Callithrix jacchus: one gene and its partner. Each later gene encodes a partner of the first gene's protein in a complex. Links are inferred from orthologs where the notes say so. Each region holds a gene or a part of one and is shown on either strand. Other genes may lie near its edges.

Region 1 (8,258 bases):
ACTGTAACCTCCACTTCCCGGGTTCAAGTGATTCTCCTGCCTCAGCCTCCTGAGAAGCTGGGATTACAGGTGCCCACCACCGCACTCAGCTAATTTTTGTATTTTTAGTAGAGATGGGGTTTTGCCATGTTGACCAGGCTGGTCTCGAACTTCCGACCTCAGGTGATCCACCCACCTCAGCCTCCCAAAGTGCTGGGAATACAGGTGTGAGCCACTCAGCCCAGACTTTTTTTTCTTGAGACAAAGTCTCACTCTGTCGCCCAGGCTGGAGTACAGTGGCACAATCTCTGCTCACTGCAACCTCCATTTCCCAGGTTCAAGTAATTCTCCAGCCTCAGCCTCCCGAGTAGCTGGGATTACAGGTGTATGCCACCACGCCCAGCTAAGTTTTGTATTTTTAAGTTGAAACAGGGCTTTTTGCCATGTTGTTCAGGTTGGTCTTGAACTCTCGACCTCAGGTGACCCACCCACCTTGGCCTCCCAAAGTGCTAGGATTACAGGGATGAGCCACCATGCCTGACCCATTTTTGTATTTTTTGTAAAGATGGGGTTTTGCCATGTTGCCCAGGCTGGTTGCCCATGAACTCCTGGGATCATGCAATCCTCCTGTCTCAGCCTCCCAAAGTGCTAGGATTACAGGCATGAGGCATCACACCCAGCCTGGACACCTGTTTTAAATTCTTTTGGGTATTCACCTAGAGCAGAATTGCTGGATAATTTGGTAATTTCATGTTTAACTTTTTTTTCCCTCCAAGTAGAGAGCAGGTACTGTTTTATTTATTTATTTTTTTTGAGATGGAGTTTCGCTCTTGTTGTCCAGGCTGGAGTGCAATGGCTTGATCTCGGTTCACTGCAACCTCTGCATCCCAGGTTCAAGCAATTATTCTGCCTCAGTCTTCCAAGTAGCTGGGATTGCAAGCATGCACCACCAGGCCCGGCTAATTTTTTAAATATTTTTAGTAGAGACAGGGTTTCTCCATGTTGGTCAAGTTGGTTTCGAACTCCTGACCTCAGGTGATCCACCCACCTCAGCCTCCCAGTGCTGGGATTACAGGCATGAGCCACCATGCTTGGCTAAGAGCAGGTATTATTTAAATGACTAATTAGAAAAACAATCATGGTAGACCACTTAGTTCATTATTCTAATAAGCCTGTTGATCTGGTCCTCCCTGTTGCCAGCATCTCCACTTTCTACAAAATGGGTGGTCTTTTTCTTCATTCCACCTTGTGGAAAGGATAATCTGAAGGATCACAAGAAGTTATTTGCTTCTTTGAAGCATTTTCCTACAGTATAGATCGCATGAATCAGATCTTCCATGCAGGTGATGCCATATTTACCAAGAGATTGAGCAATCAAGGTGTTATCTGTCAAAGCAATTTGCTTCTTACTGATTTTGCCATAACCACACTGGTAGATTAGTTCATTTACTGACTTCAGATTTGGGTACCTCCATGCAATATATCGTTCTGCAATCCTCAGCATGTTAACTGAAGCCTTGTTAAGCTTCACAAAGGTTCCACTGAAGATTTGACAAAGGCAAAGAAGCTACAACAGCTTTCAGACCTTTGGGCTCAGCATCGATACCTCTGATCCTGATGACAAACATCACTTTGGGTTTTGCAGGTACATAGAAGTTGCCAGCTTTTCTAGCCATCCTTGCCACGTGAATTTCAGTTCTGTCCATTTGCCTATATTCCTTGTGATAGTGCTTTGCTTTTTCATAGATAAGCGATCTTGCTTTTTGAAGCATCTTTTGGGCAAATTTCTTTCTCAGGCCATTGATCTTTGGCTCTGCGAAATTCCTTTGCATTTTAAATTCTGGCCTAGTAGGAACCTTCTTTTTCTTCTCTACAACACCCTAAATGGTTCCAGCCAGAAAAGAGGCTTTTTTTTTTTTTTTTTTGAGACTGAGTCTTGCTCTGTCACCCAGGCTGGAGTGCAGTGGCGAAATCTTGGCTCATTGCAAGCTCCACCTTCCAGGTTCCGGAGATTTTCCTGCCTCAGCCACCCAAATAGCTGGGATTGCAGGCACATGCCACTACACCCAGCTAATTTTTGTAGTTTTAGTAGAGATGGGTTTCACCACATTGGCCAGGCTGGTCTCGGACTCCTGACCTCAGGTGATCTGTCCATCTTGGCCTCTCACAGTTCTGGGATTACAGGCATGAGTCACCACAACCAGGATTTTTTTTTTTATTGAGACAAGGTCTCACTCTCCTGCCCAGGCTGAAGTGCAGTGGCTCAATCTCAGCTCACTGCAGTCTTGACCTCCTGGGCTCAAACGATTTTCCTCTCAGCCTCCCAAGTAGCTGCGACCACAGACATGTGCCACCATGCCAGGCCAATTTTTGTATTTTTGGTAGAGAAGGTTTTGCCATGTTGCCCAGGCTGGTCTTGAACTCCTGAGTTCAAGTGATCCGCCCACCTTGGCCTCCCAAAGTGCTGGGATTACACGTGTAAGCCACTGTGCCTGGCCAGATGTTTAACTTTTTGACGAACCATCAGATCGTTTACCATAGAGGCCAAACCATTTTACATTCCTACCAGCAATGTGTAAGGATTCTAATTTCTCCACATCCCAATTTGGCTGGGCATGTTGGCTCTACTGTAATCCCAGCACTTTGGAAGGCTGAGGTGGGTGGATCATTTGAGGTCAGGAGTTCGAGACCAGCCTGGCCAATCTGGTGAAATCCCGTCTCTACCAAACAATACAAAAAAAAAGAGAAAATATTAAAAATTAGCTGCGCATGGTGGTGGGTGCCTGTAGTCCAAGCTACTTGGAAGGCTGAGGTGGGAGTATTGCTTGAACCCAGGAGGTGGATGTTGCACTGAGCTGAGACAGCACCACTGCACTCCAGCCTGAGTGACAGAGTTAAGTCCCTGTCTCAAGAAAAAAAAATTTAAGAAATGCTATATAATTTGCCCTAAATAGAAGATAATGATGAATTAAATATAAGTCCCTGACTTTGTCTTGAGACCTAGACATTTTTAAAAACTGCACTACAACATAAGGCACAGAGTGAATATTTATTTATCACAGAGGTCAAGCCTAAGGTCTAATTTTATAAGTTCTGGAAAAGCAGGCCAGAAAAGTACAGAGGCTTGCCCAAAGTCAAAGCTAAAGATCCTCCCAGAGACTGAGAGAGAGAAAAATGTTTGAGTAGCACTCTATAACTGGACTTTCATATCTACTCACTCTAAGCATCCCTTCAAGTTCCTGACCCCAAAGTAAGAATCCCAGTAAGAAAACAATAGAGATGGTTTCCAAATAGGAGGTAGGACACCGTGAGTACCAACAAGCAATAACAGTCTGGCTAAAGATAGCTGCCACTTAAGACATCTGAGCATGAAACAAGCTCATTTTAAAATGGCCATTTAATAAATGCATGCAAGAAATCTGCTCTTGTAGCCCCTAAATCTATACAAATAAAAACATACAAGTAGAGATAAAATAAAATGGCCATTAAAAAAAAAAACAAAAACTCTGTGGTCCCAATTGCCTTATCTTTTCATTTATTCATAAATATTTCTGGTCCCACCCTATGTTCCAGGACAAGTCATATCAATATACCCCAATCCTTTCTAACGTCCTAAGTTCTTTCTTCCAAATATCTTCTAATATTTTATTTAATGGAGGTAAAAGGGTAGTGGAGGTCTCAGGTGGATGACATCTCCAAAGGGGAAAGGACAAAGGCCTCTGGCTTGGCTTCCTGCTTCAGCACTCCAGTCAGCAGGAACTCAGGTGAGAGGAGGGGCAGCCCAACCCGTCGTGGAACAGAGCATCGAGGGAAGTCCTGGGAGCATGTGATCACAACTCTCTGAGGCTGGGGAAGACAGAGCAAAAACAAAATTAGGGGTGAAAAAGAATCCTAAAAATGGGTTCTGGACCCACTAACCAGTCTTAGTATCACTAAAATAGTACCTCCTAATATGAAGCCACGTGAAGCATACTGCAAACTGTCTATAAAATATTCTTGCTAGAGGTTGGGCATGGTGGCTCATGCCTGTAATCCCAGCACTTTGGGAGGTCGAGGTGAGTGGATCATGAGGTCAAGAGATGGAGACCATCCTGGCCAACATGGCGAAACCCCGTCTCTACTAAAAATACAAAAATTAGCTGGGTGTGGTGGCGCATGCTTGTAGTCACAGCTACTCTGGGGGCTGAGGCAGGAGAATCGCTTGAATCCAGGAGGGGAAGGTTGCAGTGAGCAGAGATAGCACCACTGTACTCCAGCCTGGCAACAAAGCGAGACTCAGTCTCAAAAAAAAAAAAAAAAAAAGAAAGAAATACTCTTGCTAGAAAGATGAAATCAATTTATTCAAGCTTTTACAATTATCTACAATTTCCAGGAATATGGAACACAGAGGAACAAGATACAACAAGGAGGCAAACTCAAAAATCCATACTGAGGAACATTCTAAAGGAAAAGTGACCCAGTTTCTGCAGGAAATTGATGGTATAATAAAGGCTGGGTGAGTTAAGGAATGCTCTAGAGTAAAGAGAATTCAGAGGGTAATAGATGTGGCAGTATGTGGACCTTATTCGAATCCTGATTTGAACAACTGTATAGAGACATTTTTCAGACAACAGGAGACATTTTATTTATTTTATTTTATTATTATTTTTTTTTTGAGATGGAATTTCACTTTTGTTACCCAGGCTGGAGTGCAATGGCGCAATCTCGGCTCACCGAAACCTCCGCCTCCTAGGTTCAGGCAATTCTCCTGCCTCAGCCTCCTGAGTAGCTGGGATTACAGGCACGCGCCACCATGCCCAGCTAATTTTTTGTATTTTTAGTAGAGACGGCGTTTCACCATGTTGACCAGGATGGTCTCGATCTCTTGACCTGGTGATCCACCGGCCTCGGCCTCCCAAAGTGCTGGGATTACAGGCGTGAGCCACCGCGCCTGGCCGGGAGACATTTTATTAATGGAGTGTGAGCAAATAATCAATAAACTATTGTTAATTTTGTTTTGGATCAATAATGTCACTGTGATTATGAAATAAAATGTACACATTTCTTAAATATGTATACTTAAGTATGTAGGAAGAAATAATATAATATTGGCAGTTTGCTTTAAAATACTTCAGCAAAAAAAAGGAAAAAAAGAAAGAATAAAAAAAAGAAAATACTTCGGCAAAGAAAATCAAAGGAAAAAAGAGATAGATGGAGCAAATGTAATGTAATCTAAACTAAGCTGCTGATTGATGATTGTTAGGGGTATCAGCAGATCTCTCTCCTCATTCCTATCCCTTTCTATACCATAGGTTTTTCCCCCACCCTCTCTCTACTCTATATTCCTTTCTGTACCTCCATTTCCCCCCCCAACCGTTGCCATTCCAGCCACCTCTTTAACTGCCACTGCCACCTCACCCAGACCCAGAGCATCCTAACTATACCTTATAGGACCGAGGCATGCTGGGTAGGACAGTGCCTCCACAGCAGCTGATGATCTCTCCCATCTGAGGTGGTGGTGGCTGGACTCCAGGGGTCACATGGATCTCATAGCCCTAAGAGAAAGAAATGGTGGAGGCAGTAGATGTATGTTGGGAAGCACTGGAGGGAGGGTTGAAGCACCAATCAAAAGATAGCCTCTCACCTCCAGCAGCCTTCGCTCCCGAGCCCGGCTCAGAGCATCTTGAAGGCTAAAGCCAAAGTTCTTCTCTTGCTCAGGATCAGTCACCACATATTCATCCGGGGGTAAGAAGCAACCAGCCTTGCGGGACTAAGGATGGCAGCAGTCAGCATCAAAACTCAGCCCAGCCCCTCACCCAGCTCTGCTGCCTAGCATTTATAGAGAGCTCACAAAATATCTTTTAAATAAATTCAGGCTCCTGCCTCACTAATGTCTCTGTCTTCCTGTAACTCCTCTTCCTCCCTACCATTTTCTAGGGTGCTACATGAGCAGTCTTGTCACTATATTGGTCTGTCATCATCTCTTGGCCTCTCACCTGATGCAGCCAGTCCAGGGAGAGAATGGGGATTCCCCGCCCCAGGGCACACAGGAACTTGACTGTCCGGCGGATTCGATCAGTGACCAGGTGGGAAGCCTCTGCCGCTGAATCAGCCAGACTTCCCCCCAGTGCCAGCACGGCCCGCTCTCCCTGGGCATCCACCACTCCTGTGAAGAGCACCTGTGGAAGGGTTGGCCTGAGGTGGTCACAGCAACCTATGCCATCAGCATCTCTACAGTCCCCGAGGTCTCCTTGTATCCTCCCCTCATCTCTGTCTCCCACAAAGTCTCATGCCCTTGTCTCTTACTTTGGGGGCTGTTGATTCCCGGGTAAATTTGGTCCGTCGGAGGCTGCGGCTCTGTATGCTATTGGGCTCCTCCTCTGCCTGGTCTCTCTTTTTCTTGCCTGGTTTTGGAGTCATGACATCCTGAGATAGAGAAAAATCTTAGTGGGAGTTTCAGAGCCCTGAAGCCCTTTTTCCCAGCTTTGTGGTCCCAGCCTTCTCCTCACCTCTTCTTTCCCTGGCTTCTCTGTAGTATCTTCTAACTCTTCCTTGAGAAACACTGTCTTCTGGGAGACTTCTCTTCGGGGCTGTTTTTGAAGTGGTGGTGAATCCGTGGTAGCAAAAGCCCTCTTGCGGCTTTGAGAGACCTTAGGCTGGGGCTCTGAGGTAAACCTAGATCTACCTACTGCTTCCACCTTTTGGATCTGGGAGGCATGAGTTGGTGTCTCAAGAAGCTGGAAAGAGGCAGGCTCAGGAATGGCTGTAAGGGATTCAGCTTCTCTAACTGCTCCCCATCTTTGGTTCCTTGAGGCCTGGGATTTAGTTTCCAGGGGTGCAGAGCAAGGCTTATGGTCAATGGGAGTTTTGAGGGAGCCAGGATTCCCAATGACTCTCTGCCTCTTGCTGCAACTAGCTTGAGGAATAGGCTCAGGGGAAATAGGCTGATCTGTGGTAACAGGGGACTGGAATTCAAGGGTGGTAGGAACGGACACAGCACTTACTATAGAAGACCTCAGTGTTTTGCTCTGACTACCCTGAGCTATGGCCTCAGGGGTGACAGGCAGGTCTGTGGGGATAAGAGGCTCAAGATTAGAGGCTGCTGGTTCAACTGGTTTGGGAGTCTTGACAGAGGACCTATTTACTCTTCCTCTAGTGGCTCTAGATGTGGGCTTAGGTGTGACAGGCTGGTCTATGGAGGTTGTAGGAAGGGGCTCAGGGGCTGTGGGGACAACTGGTTCAGGGGTCCTGACAGAAGACCCATCTGTCCTGCCCCTAGTGGCCCTAGATGTGGGCTCAGGGGTGACAAGCTGGTTTCTGGAGGTCGAAGGCTGGAGCTCAGGGGCTATAGGGACAACTGATTCAGGGGTCTTGACAGAGGACCTATTTGTCCTGCCCCTAGTGGTCTGAGATGTAGGCTCAGGGGTTACAGGTTGAACTGTGGAGGCAGAAACCTGGAGCTCAGGGGCTGTGGGTACGACTGATTCAGGGGTCTTGACAGAGGACCTGTTTGTCCTGCCCCTAGTGGTCCGAGATGTGGGCTCAGGGGTGACAGGCTGGTCTGTGGAGGCAGAAGCCTGGAGCTCAGAGGCTATGGGGACAACTGTTTCAGGGGTCTTGACAGAGGGCCTATTTTTTCTTCCCCTAGTAGCCTGAGATGTGGGCTCAGGGGTGACAGGCTGGTCTGTGGAGGCAGAAGCCTGGAGCTCAGAGGCTATGGGGACAACTGTTTCAGGGGTCTTGACAGAGGACCTATTTTTTCTTCCCCTAGTAGCCTGAAATGTGGGCTCAGGGGTGACAGGCTGGTCTGTGGAGGCAGAAGCCTGGAGCTCAGAGGCTATGGGGACAACTGTTTCAGGGGTCTTGACAGAGGGCCTATTTTTTCTTCCCCTAGTAGCCTGAGATGTGGGCTCAGGGGTGACAGGCTGGTCTGTGAAGGCAGAAGCCTGGAGCTCAGAGGCTATGGGGACTACTGTTTCAGGGGTCTTGACAGAGGACCTATTTTTTCTTCGCCTAGTAGCCTGAGATGTAGGCTCAGGGGTGACAGGCTGGTCTGTGGAGGTGGAGGCCTGGAGCTCAGGGGCTGTGGAGATAACTCGTTCAGGGTTCTTGACAGAGGATCTATTTTTTCTTCCTCTAGTAGCCCGAGATGTGGGCTCAGGGGTGACAAGCTGGTCTGTGGAGGTGCAAGGTTGGAGCTCAGGGGCTGTGGATACAACTGATTCAGGGGACTTGACAGCGGACTTATTTGTCCTGCCCCTAGTGGTCTGAGATGTGGGCTCAGGGGTGACAAGCTGGTC
Region 2 (8,632 bases), on another chromosome or scaffold:
GTTTTTTGGGAGTGTGTGTTTACCCTGCTTAGGGCTCACTGAGCTTCTTGAATCTGTGGGTTTATAATTTTCATCAAATGTGAAAATATTTTCAGCTCTATTACTTCAAATAATTTTTCTGTCACCATCTGACCCATCTCTCATCTGGAACTCCAATTACACAAATATTACAGCACTTGGTGTTATCCCATAAAGCACTGAGGCTCTGTTTTGGGGGATATTTTTTCAGATTTTTTTTCTTTCTCTGCTTTCCTTTGGCTACATTCTACTGCTGTTTTCAAGTGCACTAATCTTTTCTTCTGAGTGTCTCTAATTTGCTCTGTGTCTAATCTGCGTCTGAGCGTTAATCCTATCCAGTGAAATTATTTCAGAAGTTGTCATTTTAATTCTAGAAATTCAATTCTTTATATCTTTAATTTCTCTCTTTCAGCATACTGAGCATACTTATCACAATTGTTTTAATGTTGTTGACTGCTAATTCTAACATCTCTGTCATTTGTGGCTTTATGTTGACTGACTCTCCTCCTGGTTGTAAATTACATTTTCCTGCTTCTTTGTTATCTCCTAGTTCTCTTGCTACTTCCCAGGCATTTTCACAATCTTCCTGCCTACACCTTAAGTGCTGATGTTCTCTAAGTTGTTATTATTGACTTTTCTTTTACTGCTGTGCATACTCTCCATGGGTGATCTCATCCATTGCCATAATTTCAACAGCCATTTATATGATGGTATATTCCAATTATATCTTCTACTGCCCAAATCTCTCTCCAGAGCCCAAGAGTCATATACATAACTGATCACTAGCTCATAAGCACACAATTCAGAAATCTGGGATCCATCCTTCGCTTCCTCCTTGTCGTAGACACTGTAGCCCACTTCTCAGACTCCAAGCTTCTTTTTCTGTATAATCAGCTCAATTTTCACTGGGATATATACACCTCATCACAGCTTTGGGAGAAGCTGACTTCTGTGGCTCTAAGGGTAGGCTCATGTCTTCATCCTAAGATAATTATACTTGTGCCATCTCCTGGCAGCCATTTTTGGTTTATATATGGACATATGATTAAATCACTGAAGCTTCTGGGAAAGGAGTTTTCTTTCCTTTACAAAAGCGCTTCCAAAGGTGATTCTTTTTCCTATCTCTTCTGGACCCAAAAAAACGAAACTTAAAGATACAGGAGTTGTTGGCAACCATCATCTGAAGATAAAGCTAATACTAAAGAAGAAAAAAACAATTAAAATGAGAAAAAATGCCTTTAATGACAACTCTGAGTTGTTGAATCAGTCACCCTTATAGCCTGCCTTTTTCCTGAACTTTCTAGCTAGATGGTTATAAATCTCCTTTATTGATTAAGCCAGTTAGAGCTGGATTTTCTGCTGCTTTCAACCACAAGCATCATAATTCAAAACTTTCCTTTTCCCTTCACCCCAAACATAGGCAATTAGTCACTATGTTCTATTCCCTTGAATAGTGTCTGATTACCCTCAGTTTTCTCTTCTGCCACTGTCAGGCCTTGGCTCAGTCTCTCATTGTTTTTTTCCCCTGTAATACTGTAACCGGCCCCATACATGCCATACTCCACAGAGTGATCTTTCTAAAATGCATTTCTTATCAAAATTTCATCTGCTTACAATCCTTGTGTGGTTCCCATTGTTTCTAGGAAAAAGTCCATGTTCCTTAGCATATCATGCAAAATTCTTCATTACCCTAAGCTGTCTCGCTTACCTTTTTCAGTGTCTCCTCTTGTCACTCCCTCAACTCCATTCAACTATCAGCAATGCTGAACTATTTGCTGAGCCAAAATATGTTTTGGTCTCACATCTCTAGGTCTATGTACTTGCTGCTCTCCCCAACACCACCCCCAATGCTCTCACCCACCTCTCTCTTCCTCCTCCCCTACCAAAATATACAAACATGCTAATTCCTAGTTATCTTAAGTGATCTTTGAAGCATTTCCTAATTTTGCCCAAATCTGGGAGTAGCTGTGCACTTTCCTCTTATAGTAATTCTCATATTAGGTCTATTTACCTGTCTCCTCCTTTGCATAGTAAACATTTTGAAATTAAGAATGTTTCTTTTACATTCTTGTATCTCTATTTCTGGGGCTCAATACAGTGCCTAGCACAAGTAGACACTCAACAAGCATTTTTTGAATGAGTGTATAATTATCTAGTCTGTTGATATAAGGATTTCTGATCTTGAGACTCTATTTGAAAACTCTGCTCCAAATGTGTGTCTGATTCCTAAGCATTAACCTTTTTCTTCCAGGTTAATGGAAGAAAAGGTTGGGGTTCTAGGTAGGCGGAGAAGGAAAACAAAAGAGCTCCGGAGGCATTGCCTTCAGCACTCTGGAGAGCCAGTAATGTGTCCTGCCTTTCTCCACCCTCTTCCCTACCACCTATCCATCCACACCTGGGTGCCCAAGATGGGTGTAGACTTAACTGACCAGCCCAGCAACATACTCATACCTTGGTTCAGACTTCACTTATTACTAAACTAAGGTTGGCCAATACATATAAACAATTTTCTTTCTTTTTTTTTGAGACGGAGTTTCGCTCTTGTTACCCAGGCTGGAGTGCAATGGCACGATCTTGGCTCACCGCAACCTCCGCCTCCTGGGTTCAAGCAATTCTCCTGCCTCAGCCTCCTGAGCAGCTGGGATTACAGACACGCGCCACCATGCCCAGCTAATTTTTTGTGTTTTTAGTAGAGACGGGGTTTCACCATGTTGACCAGGATAGTCTCGATCTCTTGACTTTGTGATTCACCCACCTCGGCCTCCCAAAGTGCTGGGATTACAGGCTTGAGCCACTGTGCCTGGCCAACAATTTTCAACTTGTCTTTTGAACTTATACTTTATGAAATTTGTATGCCTTAAAATGAACAAATCCGGATTCTTTTATAGTAATCAAGTAAAATATAGAAATCTTAATTCTGCACTTTACCTTTGCTAATCTAAAGTTAGATGTTACTAATTGAGCAAAGTAATTAGTTACAGGATTTTGATAGTGGTGATATTCCTAAGTTTTATAACCTAATTGTTCAATTACTGAAATCAACTACGTTTTTACAAGTGTTAGGTAAAGAAAACTGAATTTAGACAGAGAAGATTCAATTGAGGGAAGCGAGGGACAGAGGTATTTGTGACTTAAGAGTTTGTGAAAAATAAATTAGGCAGCAGGGAACACTGAAATATCGAGAGGAAGTTAGATCTCACTGGGCACTTATGAGCGGTGAGGCTAGGAATGGGGTGGAGCGAAGTAGGAAGGACAGGCTAAGAGCTGGATCCACAGCAGCACCATAATACAAGATCGCCCTTGTTCAGCCAACAACAGCACTAAACACGTTCGCTAAGTGTGACCACGGTAACAGTGGGAGGGGCGGCCCAAACCTCGCCCTCGAGCATGCTCAGTGCAGAACGAGCCTGGTCGGGTGCTGAGCAACAATGCATCCCTTTTTTTCTTCAGCTGGGGAACTACAATTCCCAAGAGCCCATTTGGTGCAGCGACACCGCCTCCCGCTGTGGCACTGCCCCGTCCCCTCCCTCAGTCCCCGCCTTCCGGCTAGTCCCCTCCCCTCCCTGAGAGTGTGTGTCAGTGACCCAGAGGTGGTGTGAGGCGGACGGACCGTCGGGGGGCGCCGCCGCTGCCGCCGCCACCAGCAGCAGCAGCGCCAACCGAGCGGCACAGTGGAATTCGTCCCCAGCCCTCGGGGAGCGCATCACAAAGCAGCCCCCACACCTCTCCTTGCGTCTGCGGCTCCTCAGCCCTCGGCTCTGCGGTCAACTTCCCCTCACTGGGCTCGGCCGGCTGGCGCGGAGGGCAGCAGCGAAACGGCGGGCTGTCTGCTCGCGCTCCCCGCGCACAACACTTCACCCTTTTGCCTCGGGTGTCGGGGGCCACGCTTGGATCACGGCCACCAGCAATTGTCCGGTGAGTGTGGCCGCGGGGAGCCCAGGGATGGATGGCGGCGGAGCCGCCGAGGGGCGCGGGGAGGGTGGGTGTGCAACTTCCTCGGCGGCTTCCCCCGGCGACCAGTCTGCCGGCTCTCACCGCCCGCCTGCGCGCCCTCGCGGCGGCGGGGAGCGGAGTTTACGGCGGGCGCCTCCATCCCGCGCCCTGGCAGGAGGAAGCGCCTTTGTCAAGAGCCGGCCCTGCGCGGCCTCCCCCTCCGCCTAGGAGCGGGGTGCGAGGCGGCCAACTCCGAGCCCCGCGCCTAGCAGGCCGCGCACTCCGGTTTCAGCTTCGAGAGGAGAGCTCAGCGGGTAGCGAGGAAAGGGAAATGGGAGAAACAAAAGGGGCGGTGGGTTTCCCTTTTGTTTGTGAGGATCTGATAACTTCTTTTTGTCCCTTACATAACGCAGACTTCCAAGTTAGTCATTCTTTTTACTATGATTGTTGTCATCATCTATGCGCGTCTCTCACATTTCCTTTCATCTTTGGATCTCAGAGCATTTTAAACAAGCTAATTAATTTCACCCCCGGGCTCCCTAGGAAACAAGTTAATACGCCCGTTTCCCTAAGAGGGTAAACTGAGGTCATGGAAAGCTCTCTAACTGATGGATACGCTTGATCTTCTACCGCGCCTGGTGTCTGAGGATATGAAAGCATTTACGAAGAGGAACCCGTTCTCCAATGCCCCGTGGAAAAGTTAAAGATGCTCATTTTACTTACAGGTTAACTGAAGTCCAAAAGAAGTCTACGTAATTGTTATGTAGTTCAAACCATAATTCTTCTTACATAGCGTTCGAATCTTAAAACCATAAAAGACTTATTGAAAAATGCTCCGAGTAGGGAAATTAATGTAAATCATAAACTCACGTCACCATCTACTTTTATTTTTGTACGTGTAGGTCTCTTAGAGGCAAGAGAGCAAGAATGGAAAAGAGTGCAGAGGTTTTTTTTAAAAATGTACAGTACATTTAACAGATTTTAATCACTACACACAAGGAAATGTGTCTTGGTTTTAACAGCACCGACAATATTCCTGTCGTTTAGTCATCAAACAGTATATCAACAAATATTATTGAGCACTTTATTCATAAGGTGCTGGTTGTGCTAAAAACTGAAGCTTTGTGTATAAGAAAAGGTCATCTGTTTCAGTTCAGACTCTTTACTTTTTCTTACTCTGCAAAATGTTACTTTGTTTTCATTGCACATAATCTTTTGTTTCAGAAATGGCATTGTCCCTTACTATGTTGAATATGTATTACTCTTATACTTAAGGAGATATGAATTCATTATTCAGTTTTCATAATAGGGTGAATTTAAAATTTTTTAATTGCGGAAGATGTTCACGTTATTCAGTTGTTTCAGTTTTTCTGTTTCCTTTATAGCCAACAGAAAATATTTTCTGAGTGATCAGATTTACATGTCTCGAAACATAAAATGTTGTTCTTATTAACAGCATATGAATTCCTTATGTTTTTTTTTTCTCTTTTTTTGCGACAAGTCTCACCCAGACTGGAGTGCAGCGGCAGGATCTCGGCTCACTGCAACCTCCGCCTCCTTGGTTCAGGCATTTCTTTGCCTCAGCCTCCCAAGTAGCTGGGATTATAGGCACCCGCCACCACACCCAGCTAATTTTTATATTTTTAGTAGAGACAGGGTTTCACCATCTCGGCCAAGGCTGATCTTGAACTCCTGACCTCGTGATTCACCTGCCTCGGCCTCCCAAAGTGCTGGGATTACAGGCATGAGCAACAGCGCCCAGCCTCCTTATGCTTTTTTTTTTTTTTTTTTTTTTATACCAACAACCTTTTCTGGAGAAAAATCTTTAACTCTGAGGACCTTGTTTATTTTGTGAGTTGTTATTTTCTCTGTACCAACTGGAAAGTACCAAAAAATTAAATCAAGCATCACTTCTACTAGCTCTTTCCTCAGGTGAATAATGATCAGAACTATAGTAACAGTGAATTTCACCTACTCTAAATTCTCTTAATGTTGTACTGTGTATTTGTCCTTACATTTTAGATTTTGGTGGTTGCATCAGAAAATGAAAATGAGATGTTCGTTATTTTGTTATTCCCGCCTGTCCGCCCCCCCACCCCAGCCTAACCTGTTCCCTCTCTGGTATGTTAAAAGAGATCTTGAGTTTAAAACAAATAATTGGAAAGGAAAACAGTTATATGTATAGAAAGTTGCATGTAGTGAAGTGGTATAATGTCTCGTCTAGTGAATTTAACAGGTTTTAAAGAGAGAACTATCACCTAGCTTTTTATTAGCATGGTAGAAGTGCTGTAATGTAATAGTAGTAGTATTTATTGACTTCTACAAAGTAAGCTGGAAATTTGCCTCAGTGGAATTTGCAGGGGAAGTAACTCCGTCCTTTCCTTAAGATTGGCATTTAAATGTTCTTACTGTTGGTTATGCTGAACTTTTTCTGTCGTATTTGCAAGCCAGATTTACCAGGGACATTTGTACTTTAAGGAGGCTACTAATGCTGTCTTGACTTAGTCACTGGAGTCTGCAGGCAGAAGTTAGTGTTGACTGGCAAAGTCTGGCTGTGCAAGTTTCATAATTTCTTTGAGACTCCTGAAAGGAATGACTGAAAAGTATGGGACAGGAAGCTAGTCCAGTACTGCTGAATGCCACTGAGGCAAGTTTCAAAGGGGAAGCCCAAGGATGTTTCCATTTGATTTAGCTTTAGCCTCTTTCTGGGTTGTCAGAATGTCACTTTTGTATTTTAAGAATTCTGTCATTTCAGAATATGATTTATTATGGTTTTTTAGTAGGTCAGGTGATAAGGACTATAGACAGTTATTATGCTTTGTGGACAACTAATGTTTTTTGTTATTTATTTATTTATTGCATTTTAGGTTTTGGGGTACATGTGCAGAACATGCAAGATAGTTTCATAGGTACACATGTGGACAACTAATGTTTTTAGACAGAACCTTCTGTAGCTGATAAAGATTTTAAGCCAAAAGACTTAGAATTGAAAACTAACATATACATATAATTTTACCATAGTACATCAATGTAAACCTATCCTGTATTTATTAAGTTAGAAAGGCTTATATGGATTATTTTATTATACAAACATATTTAACAGTATATATTAAAATTTCATAGTGACCAATATATGATGGCACTGAGGTGGCTTGAGGAGTTTCTTTGAGGGGGAAAAAAGTGTAATTCCAAAAGTTACATTTATGTTTTTGAGGAGAATAAAGCAGATTTAAGAGCCAGTGGAAAACAGAAGAAAATCAACAAAGTGAAAAAAAACTAATGAAGATGTTTTTAAATAATATAATATGAAGATTCCTGGCAACATTCATATATGAGGGACAAAATTCTAGTTGAAGTCTATAAACAGTGAATTCCAGTTAGCACTTTCTGTTTATAGATTTCTAGCCATCTTTTCCAGATTCCCTCTGAATATATTACACAGGAAATGTAAATAGAAGTCATTCTTTCAAGGGACTTGGGTTCTTAGAGATTTTTTTTACACTTGTGGTAGTGGGGGAGGGGAGGTACTTAACTACATTTTCTTAGTTCAAGTGTGACCTCTGCCATAGAAAATTTCCCCAGACTAATGTGTGGCAACTTCAAGACAAGAAATATTGGTCACTGAAAGATCTGGATATGATTTCAAGTTCTGCCACTAGCTTTTGTTTTTTTTTTTTTGGTATGTTATCTTAAATAGATCACTTATATTTTTTCTTCAAAGGTTGAAAATAACTGCCTAACATATTATGTTTAGTAGGTCCTAAATACTTTTTGTTGTTTAATGAATTTACAGGTAATAAAGAGAAGGCACAATGCTTTTTGAATGTCAGGGATTTCTATTTTTTTTTCTTTTTTGATAGAAAAAGTAATCAAAACATAAACTTCTGATTGGAGTCTTTTTTTTTTTATTTGAGGTGGAGTCTTGCTCTGTTGCCAGGCTGGAGTGCAGTGATACAGTCTCAGCTCACTGCAACCTCCACCCCCTCTAGGTTCAAGTGATTCTCCTGCCTCAGCCTCCTGAGCAGCTGGGACTACAGGCATGTGCCACTACACCCAGCTAATTTTTGCATTTTTAGTAGAGCTGGGGTTTCACCATGTTGGCCAGGATGATCTTGATCTCTTGACCTTATGATCCGCCCACCTCAGCCTCCCAGAATGCTTGGATTACAGATATGAGCCACCATACCCAACCTGGAGTCTTTCAATTAGCATAGCTACCTTTGGAAATAAGCCTAGAGAAAAAGAGCTTCATCTGATAGTTTAACAGAAATGAATTGTAAATGACTCTAAGAAGAATTGACAGCTTTTTCAGAATGTTGTACCAGATGTTTCAGATTCTTTTTGCTACATAAAGTCCATTTCAGAGAAATGGGGTTCTACATAGTACTCTGATATCACCCCTGTAATACTTTTACACCTCAAAATACCAGTTGCAGGAAAATAGAATGTGTTGCTGATGCCTATAAATGGGAAAATCCTGACATCTGTCTTCATCCTCCAGTTAATCTTGACTGTTCATGTAGTTTTTTAAAAAATTAATTTAACACATGTAATTTACTTCCTTTTCAGAGAATTTGTTGCTGATTTTTATTTTATAATGAACCTCTTGGGATGTTGCTAATTCTAAAAATATGTAATACCCCCCTTTTCCCACCATCTTCTGCAGTTTCTTTTTCTATTA

What was found.
Region 2: the proteins of MDC1 (region 1) and PELI1 are in contact, whole or in part, in a crystal structure (PDB 9IF9), measured with the Homo sapiens proteins. The link is inferred for Callithrix jacchus from reciprocal best matches to the Homo sapiens genes MDC1 and PELI1. Residues at the interface, in NP_055456.2 of Homo sapiens: Glu761, Asp762, Ser763, Glu764, Thr765, Gln766, Pro767, Phe768, Asp769; in NP_065702.2 of Homo sapiens: Arg104, Ser105, Thr106, Glu107, Thr115, Asp116, Val130, Gln131, Ser132, Thr133, Ile134, Ser135, Arg136, Phe137, Thr185, Asn186, Thr221, Arg222, Ser223, Ala224, Cys247.

Annotation. Positions count from the first base shown.
Region 1 is NC_133505.1:35,493,183-35,501,440, forward strand, and holds the end of MDC1 (mediator of DNA damage checkpoint protein 1), read right to left. Parts: coding exon 6,468-8,258; intron 6,385-6,467; coding exon 6,265-6,384; intron 6,138-6,264; coding exon 5,955-6,137; intron 5,729-5,954; coding exon 5,603-5,728; intron 5,514-5,602; coding exon 5,403-5,513; intron 3,826-5,402; coding exon 3,658-3,825; 3' UTR 3,010-3,657; downstream 1-3,009. UniProt on the Homo sapiens protein: Histone reader protein required for checkpoint-mediated cell cycle arrest in response to DNA damage within both the S phase and G2/M phases of the cell cycle.
Region 2 is NC_133515.1:49,792,579-49,801,210, forward strand, and holds the start of PELI1 (E3 ubiquitin-protein ligase pellino homolog 1), read left to right. Parts: upstream 1-3,596; 5' UTR 3,597-3,933; intron 3,934-4,526; exon of another isoform or gene 4,527-4,676; intron 4,677-8,632. UniProt on the Homo sapiens protein: E3 ubiquitin ligase catalyzing the covalent attachment of ubiquitin moieties onto substrate proteins. Involved in the TLR and IL-1 signaling pathways via interaction with the complex containing IRAK kinases and TRAF6.